3 linked regions of the Mus musculus genome follow. The protein of the gene in region 3 interacts with the protein of the main gene of each other region in a pairwise test. Links are inferred from orthologs where the notes say so. Each region holds a gene or a part of one and is shown on either strand. Other genes may lie near its edges.

Region 1 (3,960 bases), on a different chromosome or scaffold from region 3:
TTTTTTTTTTTTTTTTTTTTTTTTTTTTTTGAGACAGGGTCTATGTACCTGGTCCTCCCGCTAGATGTGTGTGTGTGTGTGTGTGTGTGTGTGTGTGTGAGAGAGAGAGAGAGAGAGAGAGAGAGAGAGAGAGAGAGAAAGAGAGAGAGAGACTCATCTTCTACCATGTGGGTCCTGGGGATCAAACTCAGGTCAAGCTTGGTAACAAACATCCTCACTCACTGAGCCCACCTGCCCACCCTTAAAATTTCTTTTTCAGAGCAGACTCCTGCAAAAATAAAACATATCTAATCTCTTATCAGTTCAACTACAAACAGCCTCATCTTCACCACCCCTCCCCAATACCCAGACAGAGAATACAATTTGTTTTGTCTTTATAAGATTTATTTTGTTTTTTATTTATTTTATTTTATTTTGGAGACCAGTCTCAGTCTTCCTAGAGTAGGGATTACAGATATTTACCACCACGTCGTTTGTAGCAGGTCTCAAAAACAAAGATATTTCACTTCGTCTTGTTCACACACACACACACACACACACCATTCTCACTTACAAGCCTTCTGCCCTTGGTCATCTAGGGACCTCTACCTAGAACAGGTTGTCTTCCTTTTAGCTTTACCCAGGGACCATTTGTCCTGAAGAATTGTGCCCAAGTGGGACCAAGTGGGGCAGACCTAGGGCACTTTAATAAATCTAACGTGATACCAGAGATCCCAACATAGTGGCACACTGTCACCCCAGCCCTTGAGAAAGGGAGAGAGCAAAAAACAAAAAAACAAACCCAAAAAAACAAAAAACAAAACTAGGGGTTCAAGGTCATCCTCAGCTACAGCGCCCCAGCTCCAGGCCAGCCTGGGCTCCACAAAACCCAAACTGAATCTAGTGACAATGAGAAAGCAGCGTGCAGGGTGACAGACAACGCCCGAGGGGTAGGTGACCACGGGGCAGGGCGGGGCAAGGACAGTAAGAGGCAACCACGCGTGAAAGCAGCAAGCTAGCACACAATGGGCCTGGGAGGGCAGAGCGTGCGCGCGGCGCCCCGGGGGCCGGCCGCCGCACCACGTGGGCCGCAGAGCGCGCCGGGGCCAGCAGCGGGCCCCGTCGGCCCAAGGCCGGGCGCGGCGGCGCGCGCATGCGTGCGTGCGACTTGCGATCAGGCAGCGCGGCGGACAGCCCCGGTAGCGGGGCGGGCGGGGGGAGGAGGAGTTATATTGCGGGGTCCTTCCTCGCTGGCCCGCTGGTTCCTCAAGGAGCGGAGACGGCAAATGGCGGACTTCGATACCTACGACGATCGGGCCTACAGCAGCTTCGGCGGCGGTAGAGGGTGAGGCGAGCGGGGCGCGGTCAGGCGGGCCAGCGGCTCGGCCGGGGGGAGTGCCGAAAGGTTCGAAGGGGGAGGCGGCCTTGCCGCGCTCACTCGAGACGGGCGGCGGGAAGCGGCCTGAGCAGGCCCGAGGCGAGGCCTGGAAATGGCGCGCTCCGGGAGCGGCTGGCGACGGTTAGGCTGCGGGTCTCTCGCTTGCTCGCGGCGCACATCCTGCCCTCGGCTCCGCGCCGGCCCCGGACCCGGCACCCTGCGGGGCCTCGGTCGGAAAGTTAGATCACAGCGACACCGGAGGGTTTCCCGGGGATACCAGTGCCCGCCCGCCGCGTCCAGCTTTCTCCCCAGCGCGCTCCGGGCTGGGATGCAGCGCGGAAGCGGGCGGCGGCGGCGGAAGCGGCCTGCCCCTCTCCAGGGTCCCCGCTGCCTGGCGGAGCCCCTGGGTCGCTTCTGCGAGAGGCCCGCCGGCAGCGAGAGGGGCGATTTCCCTTCCGATTCGAGTCTGGATGCTGGGACCGTCGGATCCAGCGAGGGAGACAGGGAGCGGGGACCTGAACCAAAACAAATCCACCGTAGTGGGGAGTGTGCGTGGCTCTTTCTCTCTGCCTCCCTGGCGTTTCGAATGCCTTATTGACAGATACTACGTGTCTGCTGGCGGAGATTGTTGATTTCTTCCCAGTTTCTTCCCTGACCTGGGGAATCGCTTTCGCTTCGTTCTGATTCCGGTCAGATAAAGACAACATACTTTAAAACCAGTCCTCCTCCCACCTCCCTAAATCCTTTACTGATGAATAGATAGCTCCTGGTGCATAATTCCAAAAAACGGGCGCCCGGATAGTTTGTGCCCTTTTAAATAACACGTTACCAGCTGGGGTTGTGGCTCAGTCACAGAGCGATTGTCTAGCATATCTTGGATTCAGTCTCCTGCCAAACAATAGAAATAAACAAGCATCAGCCACTTGCTTTTTTTTCTTTTTTTTTTTTAAGCTTATAGGAGTTTTATGGGACAATTTAATCGTCTTGTTTATTTGTCAAGGACACACTTGGCTTTTATCCTTTTTTACAGCAAAGGTGACTTGCCCGGAGAATATCACAATAGTTGTACTGAGGTGTTGGGTTTCCTAGGTGGCTGCCCCCAAAGTGTCTTTTGTTAGGTGAAGAATGATCACCTTTAAATACCTGGGTTTGAGAGTGAGTCACAGTCTTGTTTGGTTGCAGTAGTGTACTGGGTACTCTTCATGCTTTCAGAAGGAGGAAGTTGGGGCTAAGGTGGAGCCACACGTATTTTATTTGCTAATAAAAATAAAAATAGGTGTTGGATGAAATGTTAGCATGAATACCCTTGGGGATGGCTTTCTAGGTATGGGATTTGTACTAACGTCCCATTGGGTTGTTTTTTTTGTTTTAAAGATAGAGTCTTGGTGTGTATGTAATTCTGGCCAACTTGGAACACGCCATGCAGACCAGGTGAATTCAGCCCACCTCTGCCTTCCCAGTGGTGGGATTAGAGGCCTGAGCCGGCATGCTCAGTTTGGGTTGGGTTGTTTTTCTCTACTTGAAAGAAGTAAATGTGCTCAGGGGCTCTTTTTTTCCTACTCGAATCCTCATACTGTAGAGAGGTTGAGGCAGGAGAAACCCAAGTTTCAGACAGCCTGGACTACATAGTGAGGTCTTATCTCAAAGGGGAAGAAAACGCCTTTGAACAAACTTCCCAACCTTTGATGATGATGGAAAGGTCATTAGACTTAGCACATGCCACAAATGAGACCCTTGAATAACTTTAAAACATTAGAAAAAAATTCAAATCTCTCAAGATGCAACTTATTTGAAATACTTATAGGCAGATGAAAATGTTAGCCATTTACCTAGATGATCTCTCAAAGCTAATTTGAGATTCTTAACTTTTGGTTTTTCGATACAGGGTTTCTCTATGTAGCCCTCCCTGACTGTCCTGGGACTCACTGTGTAGACCAAGCTGGCCTTGAACTCAGAAATCCTCCTGCCTCTGCCTCCCAAGTGCTGGGATTAAAGGCGTGCTCGTGCGCCACCAAGCCTGGCGATTCTTAACACTCCTTTAAGCATCCCTTAAAGATGTTCTGAAAAGGGCTGGTGAGATGGCTCAGTGGGTAAGAGCACCCGACTGTTCTTCCAAAGGTCCAGAGTTCAAATCCCAGCAACCACATGGTGGCTCACAGCCATCTGTAACAAGATCTGACTCCCTCTTCTGGAGTGTCTGAAGACAGCTACAGTGTACTTACATATAATAAATAAATAAATCTTTAAAAAAAAAAAAAAAAAGATGTTCTGAAAGTCCCTTTACTTATTAACACCTCTTTGAATTGAAATTTTCAAGTTGTTTTCTTTTTTTGGGATACAGTCTCACTATGTAGGTAGTCCTGGCTGTCCTTGGAAAACAGATCTCCTGCCTCTACCTTCAAGCACTGGATTTAAAGGCCTGCATCACGGGTACCAGGCATTTTGACTGGCTTGTTCACATGGAAGTACATTTTTCAATTTCTTTACTCATTTTTTTGGTATGAGTGTTTTGTCTGCGCATGTCTCCTTTCCTGGTGTCTAAAGAGATGTCTGGGATGAGTTATGAGCCACCCTGTAGGTGCTTTGGTAGAATAGCTGATGCT
Region 2 (4,123 bases), on a different chromosome or scaffold from region 3:
TTAACTCCTTTCAGCTTTGCAGGTATCTCATGGCTCTGGCTTTTCCAATACTGGGGTCTCCAATACACACACACACACACACACACACACACACAGAGTGGGGGGACAATATTCATATTTGTTGCTTATTTTATTTTATTACATGTAATTTGTTCCCCTGAAAGCCCTACCTATGTCTACAGAGGTCTGCAGTTTCTCTGAATAACCAACTGAAAGTATGGGTAAGAAGTACACTTGGCAGGTTGTGGTGGCACGCCCCTTTAATGCCAGGCCAGGAGAAGGGGGGGGGGTATCTCATGAGTTCTAGGCCAGCTAGATCTACACAGCAAGTTCTGGGTGAGTCCCTGTCTCTCCCCCGCAAGGAAAGTACACCAGGATGAGAATGTTCTCCTCTCCCACAGAAGCAGGAAATAGATGGGAGTGTCCTCAGGGAGCTACCCTTTACCCAAAATGGTTAAGAGGACCACTGAAGTTGGGCATGGTTGTCCACACTTTTAATCCCACTAGGCTGAAGCAGGCAGATTTCCCAGAGTTCCAGGGCAGCATGTGCTACATGTGAGACCCTGTCTCAAAAAACAAACAAAAATAAAAAACCAACAAGATAGTAAAAGTAAAGTAATTGTTTTCTAGATTATTGACAGGGCAGCCTAAATAACTTTGCAATGGTTAGATCTAACCATTCCACTCCTCTACTCCAGTCAGGTGAATTATGCTTTTAGCCTGCTTTCAGCCTTTTAAATACTTATTCAGACTGACACACTACAAAAATCTTCTGGTAACTGAAACGGACAGTTAAAGTGGTTTGGGGAATTTTAGATTTTATTGATAATACAGCCTCGCTTATTTTTGTCTGTCGCAAGCAATGTAGTTTCTGGAAGACAAAAGCTTTACAAATTACTTTGTTAAAAACTTTTCTCTAAAGCAATGAAATCCCTTCTAATGTAGGAGACAGGAGAAAGCCTGTCCCGTGACTAAAGAGAAACTGCGATTTGGACTCCTGGATTATGGCTGAGGAAAGTGAAATCTTTTTATTCACGACACTCCCGGATCTGCCCTCAGAACTGTTCCTACTTCATAAGGCCTTCCTACTCAAGCCTCGTCGCTGAAAGCTTTCGGGCTCGCGAACACCGGGTGAACGCCTAAATTCACCCTTCGCCCCGCCCCCAGCGTCGCAGCAGAGTCACTAAACGCAGAGATTGCTTCTGGCACTACCCAGGGGCGAACGTAGAGAAGAAGAGTCACCGGCTTGCGTGTGGCTAAACGCAGGTCAGCGGCTGGCGTCACTCAGCCCTCGCGCGCAAGCGTACTAAGAGCACGCTCCCCCCACCTTCCCGTGCACGCGCTCGGAGCCTGCAACTCTCGCGAGAGAAGCGAGATTTATTCCTACGTACCGGGCCGTGCTGCTTATGGCGGCGCTGGAGAGGGGGCGCTGAGCTGTTGGGGTGAGTACGACCTCAGTGTTAAAGTGGGGGTAGCAACGAGCCAGGTTAAAGACAGCTGAGGAGACTCAGGTTAACGGGAGGGACCTCTGAGTGTCAGAGTGGGCACTCCTAGAATTCCGGATGGAGGAGAGTTCAGTGTGAGTTCCTACTCCAGGCGTCCCTTTTTCACCCTGGCTTCAACCGTCTCGGCCTCAGGGCCGGCCGCGAAGCCTTAGTGAGGAGGTGAGGCCAGGGGGTGCGGGTAGCGGCGGTGTCGGTGTCGGTGTCGGTGACTGAAGTGGGGGGAGGGAGCGAAAATGGAAACTCCGACCGCAGCCAAGATGGAGGCAGAGGGTGCGGGGCTCGGGCGCGAAGGCTGCCGGGAGCTGTAGTCCGTCCTCTTCCCCCTCTGCGGCTTGGCGGGGGAAAGGGAACTACAAGTCCCGGCGGGAGGGGTGAGGGGGTGGTGGCGCGGTCCTTTGTGTGCAGCTGGAAGAGGCCGGGGAGAAGGGCCTGTTCTTTTTTTCGGGACCTTGTCTGTCTTGGCCGTCACTGGCTTTGGGGATACTACTACGACTACCAGAGCGCAGTGCGGCAGTGGCGCCTTCTTTGTGTGTGGGTTGAGACCCTGTTCCATCTAGGGAAAGTGCTGCGGGACACCTCTGTTCCCTCAGCCACATCTGACCCTAGCGCGGCGGAATTGACACCTTTACTCACATTCTCTTGTGGCTGGGTCTCCACACCTAACTGTCCTTTGGCATTTGAAAAAGGAGTCGGGCCCCGTTCTAGGCACGTGTCTCCCACCTTTCTGTCTGGGGTAAATGGCATGCGTTAGGAGAGTTCCGTGATGCCCTCCCTCCGTGGTGCAAGCGCTGGCCTACATTGTGCAATGAATGGCTTGGCTTTGTCATGTATCTATCTAGTGTGAGAGCCCCAGTCGGAGAGCAAATTAAATTGGAAGATTTGACCGTCGAACGTTTCAACCATACCCAATCTTAGTGCCCCGGTTCTTTTGCTTTAAAGAGTTAACCTTAGAAACACCTTTGTGGCTGGTCTCCAACCTGACTCACAGGTGAGCAGGGAGTACTCCTTAACACTTTCCACTGCAGAAAACATTCTGAACATTATTAAACCACTTAGTTTCCTTGTTCTGCAACTAAAATGAGCAAAAAGATAGTGCTGTTTAAGCAGTTGAGGAGGACGGGCAGAAAGGAACTAAGGATGTTTAAAGATTGTAGTTGAGTTTGGACATTATGTTAGGCTGATGTGAACTTCTAGTTCACAAAACTGCCAAGTTTGTTTTTCTTTTGTTTATTGGTTATAGCCTTAAACTGTGCAACCTAGGTTAGCCTTGAAATGGCTGGCTGTCTAGACTGCTTGCTTGCTCTAACCTACTTTTTAAAAAAATAAGTTCCAAATTATAGGGCATTAATTCAAGCTACCAAAATGCTCAGTCTGCCCTCCCCACCCCCTTTCTTTTCCTTTCCTTTTCTTTTTTTGAGATAGGGTCTTACTGTGTAGCCTTGTCTGGCCTCGAACTCCGTGGACCAGGCTGTCCTTGAAGTTACAGAGATCTGCTTGTCCCTGCCTCCCAAGTGCAGGATTAAAGGCATGTACTACTGCCATGCCTGTCGATCATCTTGATTTTTAGGTACTAGAAGGCAAACTCATTACTAAATTGACAGGCGATATAATTATTAATGTGGATAAGAAGCAGATTGTGTACATAAACAGCCACGAATATGTAAGTTATAAAATCTAGGCAGTAGTTACCTGTCCCTTCTTTAGTCCCATCACTACAGACCTAGCACTTCTGAGGCAGAGGCAGGCAGATCTCTGAGTTTAAGGCCAACTTAATCTGCAGAGCAAGTTCTAGGACAACCAGGGCCACATTGAGAAACCTTGTATCAAAATATTAAAAACCAAAAAGAACCTTGGATCTAATACTTGTCCTTGTTTCTTTTCCTCTTAGAACTGGAATGTAAAGAGCTGGTAGTAGTTTGGTTTTGCAGCTGCTCTGATGTTTACCATCACCATGAGTATTTATAGCAGCTGAGTGGAAAAGCAGAGTATTTGAAGCACAGACGATAGGTTTTCTTTTTTCATAAAAATAAGTTCTGACTTAAGTGTGACCTTTATAGGAATGATTGGAAGTTGTGGTAAGTTTCCAGCTAATGAAAACTATGAACTGCTTTCTTTTTCTTTCACACCCTCCCTTCAGTCATTCCATTTTTATGTAATGTAAACCTTAGTGGGTTTTTTGTTTGTTTGTTTGTTTGTTTGTTTGTTTTTCTTTCTTTCGTTTTTTGAGACAGGGTTTCTCTGTATAGCCCTGGCTGTCCTGGAACTCACTCTGTAGACCAGGCTGGCCTCGAACTCAGAAATCCGCCTGCCTCTGCCTCCGGAGTGCTGGGATTAAAGGCGTGAGCCACCACGCCCGGCTAAACCTTAGTTTTGACTTTTTTTGAAGTATAAAGTTTAGTGGTATTAACTACATCTCTATGAGGGCTGTACTTTTTTAAGCAAGGTAGGTGATAGTGGAAGTTCCTTTTGAATGATATATATTTTTTTTTCCATTTTTTATTAGGTATTTAGCTCATTTACATTTCCAATGCTATACCAAAAGTCCCCCATATCCACCCACCCCCACTCCCCTGCCCACCCACTTCCCCTTTTTGGCCCTGGTGTTCCCCTGTACTGGG
Region 3 (4,043 bases):
AGAGTTACTGGCCAACCTAAGGTACATAGTAAGTTCTAGGCCAGTCAAGGCTACATCGAGAGACTTTTTTTTTTTTTTTTTTTTTTTTTTTTGTCTTTTCGAGACAGGGTTTCTCTGTGTAGCCCTGGCTGTCCTGGAACTCACTTTGTAGACCAGGCTGGCCTCGAACTCAGAAACCCGCCTGCCTCTGCCTCCCAAGTGCTGGGAGAGAGACTCTTTCTTAATAAAATAAAATGTAAAACAAATATACCTTGGGACCAAAAGAATATACCAAAAAAGGCCTTGGGCCTTTCTGGAAAGACTTAAAAAACTGATTTTGATCCATGGTTACAGAGGGGAACAGCTCTGAAGAGGTTCTCAGCGATGGTGCCTGGCCTCCGCACAGCAGCACACTACTTTCACCACTGAGGGAGGAGGAGAAGGCGGCCCACTCAGGCTGGAGCTGTCTCTTCCGGCCCCATCTTTCCTCGAGAGCCAACACAGATAACCATCAGGACAGTGTTTGTAAAAAACACTCAAGACACAGACCCGAGCTGGGTTTTATTGAAATGTCAGGAGCAGGCACATGTCAAGGTAGCCAGGGAAGGGGTGGTGGTGATGCAGGCTATGAGTTTGCAGGGAGGAGCAGACCCCATGTCCATGACCCTGCGTCTCCTCTTGGCCAGAACATGTACAGGTCCCAATAGCATGCTTAGTCCTGGAAGGGCCCGGCCACCTGGACTATGATGGCGCCAAGGGCAGGGGCTGGAAGCACTAAGTTTTCTCCCTTCTGAGGGAGGAAAGAAAAGGAAGAATGCAGGCTAAGTATAGTGGGGACAGAGGTGGCCAGGACAGACTTCCTCGAGTCTCTGCACCCAAGCTGTGGTCCTGGGCAGTGGTGGGGAGCAGCATCAAAGAGGGCCGCCGAGGGCCCCGCCCTCCAAGAGCCAGAGCCCCCAACCTGTGAGGGTGGGAGTTGGCCCTGCACAAAGAGAGCAGAAGTGCAAAGGGACTGAGTGCAGGCAGTTCCCACGCCAATGAGTCCTCAGGGCTAAGGAGCTCAGCCTTCTTGGGACAAGGAAGAGAAGAAGGAAGGATCCAAGCAAAAGGTGGTCTCTCCTGCTCGGCCCCATTAGGTCAGTTCTACATTGTTGGCACGGTCCAGCACTCGAGAGCCACGGGTATTGCCTCCAAGCTGGAAACGGCTCTCATAGAGAGTGGGGCAAAGGTGCCAGCGGTTGGCTCGGTAGATGCCCAGGTAGGTGTAGACATCAGGTTTGTAAGTGAGCAAGCACTTAATGCCTGCAGCACGAATGGCAGAATCTGCTTCCAGCACACCCAAGCGGTCCGTGAAGTCGTCCGTGTAAACACAGATGACCTGGCGCCCACCCTCTTTGGCCCGTGGGCTCACCTTGGCCACCTGGAGACGGCCCTCAACTACAGCCCGGGCAATGCCAGCCCAGGCGTGGTCCAGCTTGAAGCCAGGTGACAGGTGAATCAGCCACTTGCCGGAGAGCACATGGTGGGTGATGGCCAGCTGGCGCAGGGTACCTGGTGTGATGGGTCGCCCACTGGTCTGCAGAGCCTCCCAGGCCGCCTGCAGCCCTTGTACATCCCCTGAGTTGGGGGTGTAACCCTGCCCATAGGCTGCAATCCAGCCCACAGGTTCAGAGTTGGGTGAACCTGGGTCCCCATAGCGAGTAACTTGAGATGGTGGGTACTTGGCCAACCAGGCATCCAGCTCTGTGGCAGGTGTGGTACGGGCATCAAATACCAGCCAGGGGTCCATATCGGCTGCCATGGCCTCTGCAGCCAGGTGCTCAGCAGTGAAGCCATCCTCCCGGCCACCTGGAGAGTCTTCCTCTTCCAGCTCCTCATTTGGTTCCATCCTGTTGTGAGGGAACTGAGTCAGAGGTTTGAGACAGTAAATAAAAAGTGCTGGGTCCTGGAGGGTGCCAGGCACTGCAGTAAACTGTGGCCCTGGGCAAGACATAATGTCTGTGCCTCAGTTGCTTCATCTTCACAATGGGTAACAACTGATCCTGTCTAGATTTGTCTCCAGAATAAGACGCCTGAGGTGGAGTAGCTATAGTTAGTACTACTTTCACTGCTTACAAACAAGGAAATTGAAACTCTTAAGAAAAGGGGCTTGCCCAAGGTCATGCCCGTAAAGAGCGCCAGAGCTTAAGTGTGAACTGGCACGGGGCTCGGCTACACCACCGGACTAGAGTCCTGCAAGGTAGCGCGGCGCTGCAATATAATGGACGTAGGCAAAACGCAGGGTCGCCAACCTCAGAGGATGGCTGTAGAGGGCCAGGCCTCCCCCGGTGAACGATTGGGGGCACCGTGAAACACCGAGGCTCTGAGCCCCAGAGAGGGCAGCGGCCCATCAGGGGGTCAATGGGTACCATCCAGACTCGAACCAGATAGGACCAGGCCTGCGCGAGGACCAGGCTCCAGCCCTACCACATCCGCCGCCATTAGTGCCCACAGCTTAAGGGTTGCCGTCCCTCTCGCCACCCCGCAGTCACCTCCGGCCTTCACTCCGTTCCGCGCCAACCCAACTTCGGGCCCGGCTCCGTTCCTGCCCGGGATCTGCTGCGCCGCCGCCGCCGCCGCCGCCACCCCCGCCGCGCCCCGCCCCTGCCACGGCCGCCGCCGCCGCCGCCATCTTAGGGTCCCGCCACCTCAACAACAACTTTATAGACAAACACAGTCACGGGGCGGGGCCAGAGGCGGAACCAGAAGGCTAGGGGCGGGGGCTCCAGGGGAAGGGGCGGGCAGCGTCCAGGGGCGGAGCCGGCGCGAGAATCCCGGGAGGTGCAGGTCTTCGGGAGGCGGAGCTAACGTTCGTACTTTAGCTTGGGGGGCGGGTGGGCGTGGCGGGCGAGCCCGGGGAAGGACGCGCACCGCCCCAGAGGATCCGAAGCCCAGCGCTCGAGTTTGGGGAGCTGCTTGTCTACGGGCGGCACTAGGACCCTGCGGGAAGTGGTGTAGGCGGAGTAAACGGCACCAGGACCCGGGGAGGGTGGGGGGGGGGACCGCGGCGGGCCGGCGGCGGACAGGCCCGGGGCCGGGAGGCTGCGGGCGGCGGCGCTGGGCCCGGCGCAACGAGAGGCCCCGAGATGCCAAGCAAGAAGAAGAAGTATAACGCGCGGTTTCCGCCGGTGAGCACGTGGCCCGGATGGGCCCCGGCAGGCAGGGCTCCCGGGAGGCTTGGGCCCAGGTCCTGCTGGTGGGGGGGGCGGGTGCCTTTAGGTGTTCACGGCCTGACGCCCCGCCCCTTCCATGCCCTCCTGACTTAGCGCCCCCCGCCCTCTTCTCCTTCTCCCGGGATACCCCCGGTTCCCTCTGTCCCCCGTGTTAGGGACGCAAGAGACGAGCTCTGTCCTCTTCCTTTCGGCAGGCGCGGATCAAAAAGATCATGCAGACGGACGAAGAGATTGGGAAGGTGGCGGCAGCTGTGCCTGTCATCATCTGTATCCTACTAGGGGCCGGTTGGGCTGAGGGGCGTGGGGCGGGACTGCGGCACTCCCCTTTTTGGATTCTCCTTGACGTCTTCAGCCCGGGCCCTTGAGCTCTTCCTGGAGTCCCTGTTGAAGAAGGCTTGCCAGGTGACCCAGTCTCGAAATGCCAAAACCATGACCACGTCCCACCTGTGAGTGGCCGCCGAGCTGGGAGGGGCTTTTGAGGAGGCAGAGTTCCGACAGGGGGAGTGGTGCAAGGCCCAGGGAGGCCAGCTTTGTGGATTTGGACTGATGCAGGAGAGATTAGGTGTTTCAGGTGCAGGGAATACAACCAGATCCGAGCCACCGGCCCTCCCAGGAGGCCTGGTGGAAGTAGGGGTGTTTTTAACGTTCCACTGTACTGACACGAAGAAGTTGTTTGTATCCTTCCCTAAGTGTTTTGGGGGCCCCATTTGAACCCCTTCCTTTCCCACTTCTTTAGGAAGCAGTGCATTGAACTCGAGCAGCAGTTTGACTTCTTGAAAGACTTGGTGGCATCAGTGCCTGACATGCAGGGGGATGGGGAGGACAACCACGTGGATGGGGACAAGGGTCCTC

What was found.
Region 1: the proteins of AI837181 (region 3) and Eif4h interact in binary tests that used the Homo sapiens proteins (3 or more experiments, as listed by UniProt). The two-hybrid records come from large-scale screens. The link is inferred for Mus musculus from reciprocal best matches to the Homo sapiens genes C11orf68 and EIF4H.
Region 2: the proteins of AI837181 (region 3) and Csde1 interact in a two-hybrid assay, tested with the Homo sapiens proteins (2 studies listed by BioGRID and IntAct). The link is inferred for Mus musculus from reciprocal best matches to the Homo sapiens genes C11orf68 and CSDE1.

What each region holds. Positions count from the first base shown.
Region 1 is NC_000071.6:134,636,605-134,640,564, reverse strand, and holds the start of Eif4h (eukaryotic translation initiation factor 4H), read left to right. Parts: upstream 1-1,155; 5' UTR 1,156-1,265; coding exon 1,266-1,324; intron 1,325-3,960. UniProt on the Homo sapiens protein: Stimulates the RNA helicase activity of EIF4A in the translation initiation complex. Binds weakly mRNA.
Region 2 is NC_000069.6:103,019,228-103,023,350, forward strand, and holds the start of Csde1 (cold shock domain-containing protein E1), read left to right. Parts: upstream 1-1,318; 5' UTR 1,319-1,442; intron 1,443-4,123. UniProt on the Homo sapiens protein: RNA-binding protein involved in translationally coupled mRNA turnover.
Region 3 is NC_000085.6:5,423,776-5,427,818, reverse strand, and holds AI837181 (UPF0696 protein C11orf68 homolog), read right to left. Parts: upstream 2,676-4,043; 5' UTR 2,651-2,675; coding exon 2,511-2,650; intron 1,883-2,510; coding exon of another isoform or gene 1,869-1,882; coding exon 1,112-1,868; 3' UTR 502-1,111; downstream 1-501. Other genes in the region: Drap1 (dr1-associated corepressor), read left to right, coding at 3,105-3,146, 3,386-3,458, 3,544-3,637, 3,928-4,043.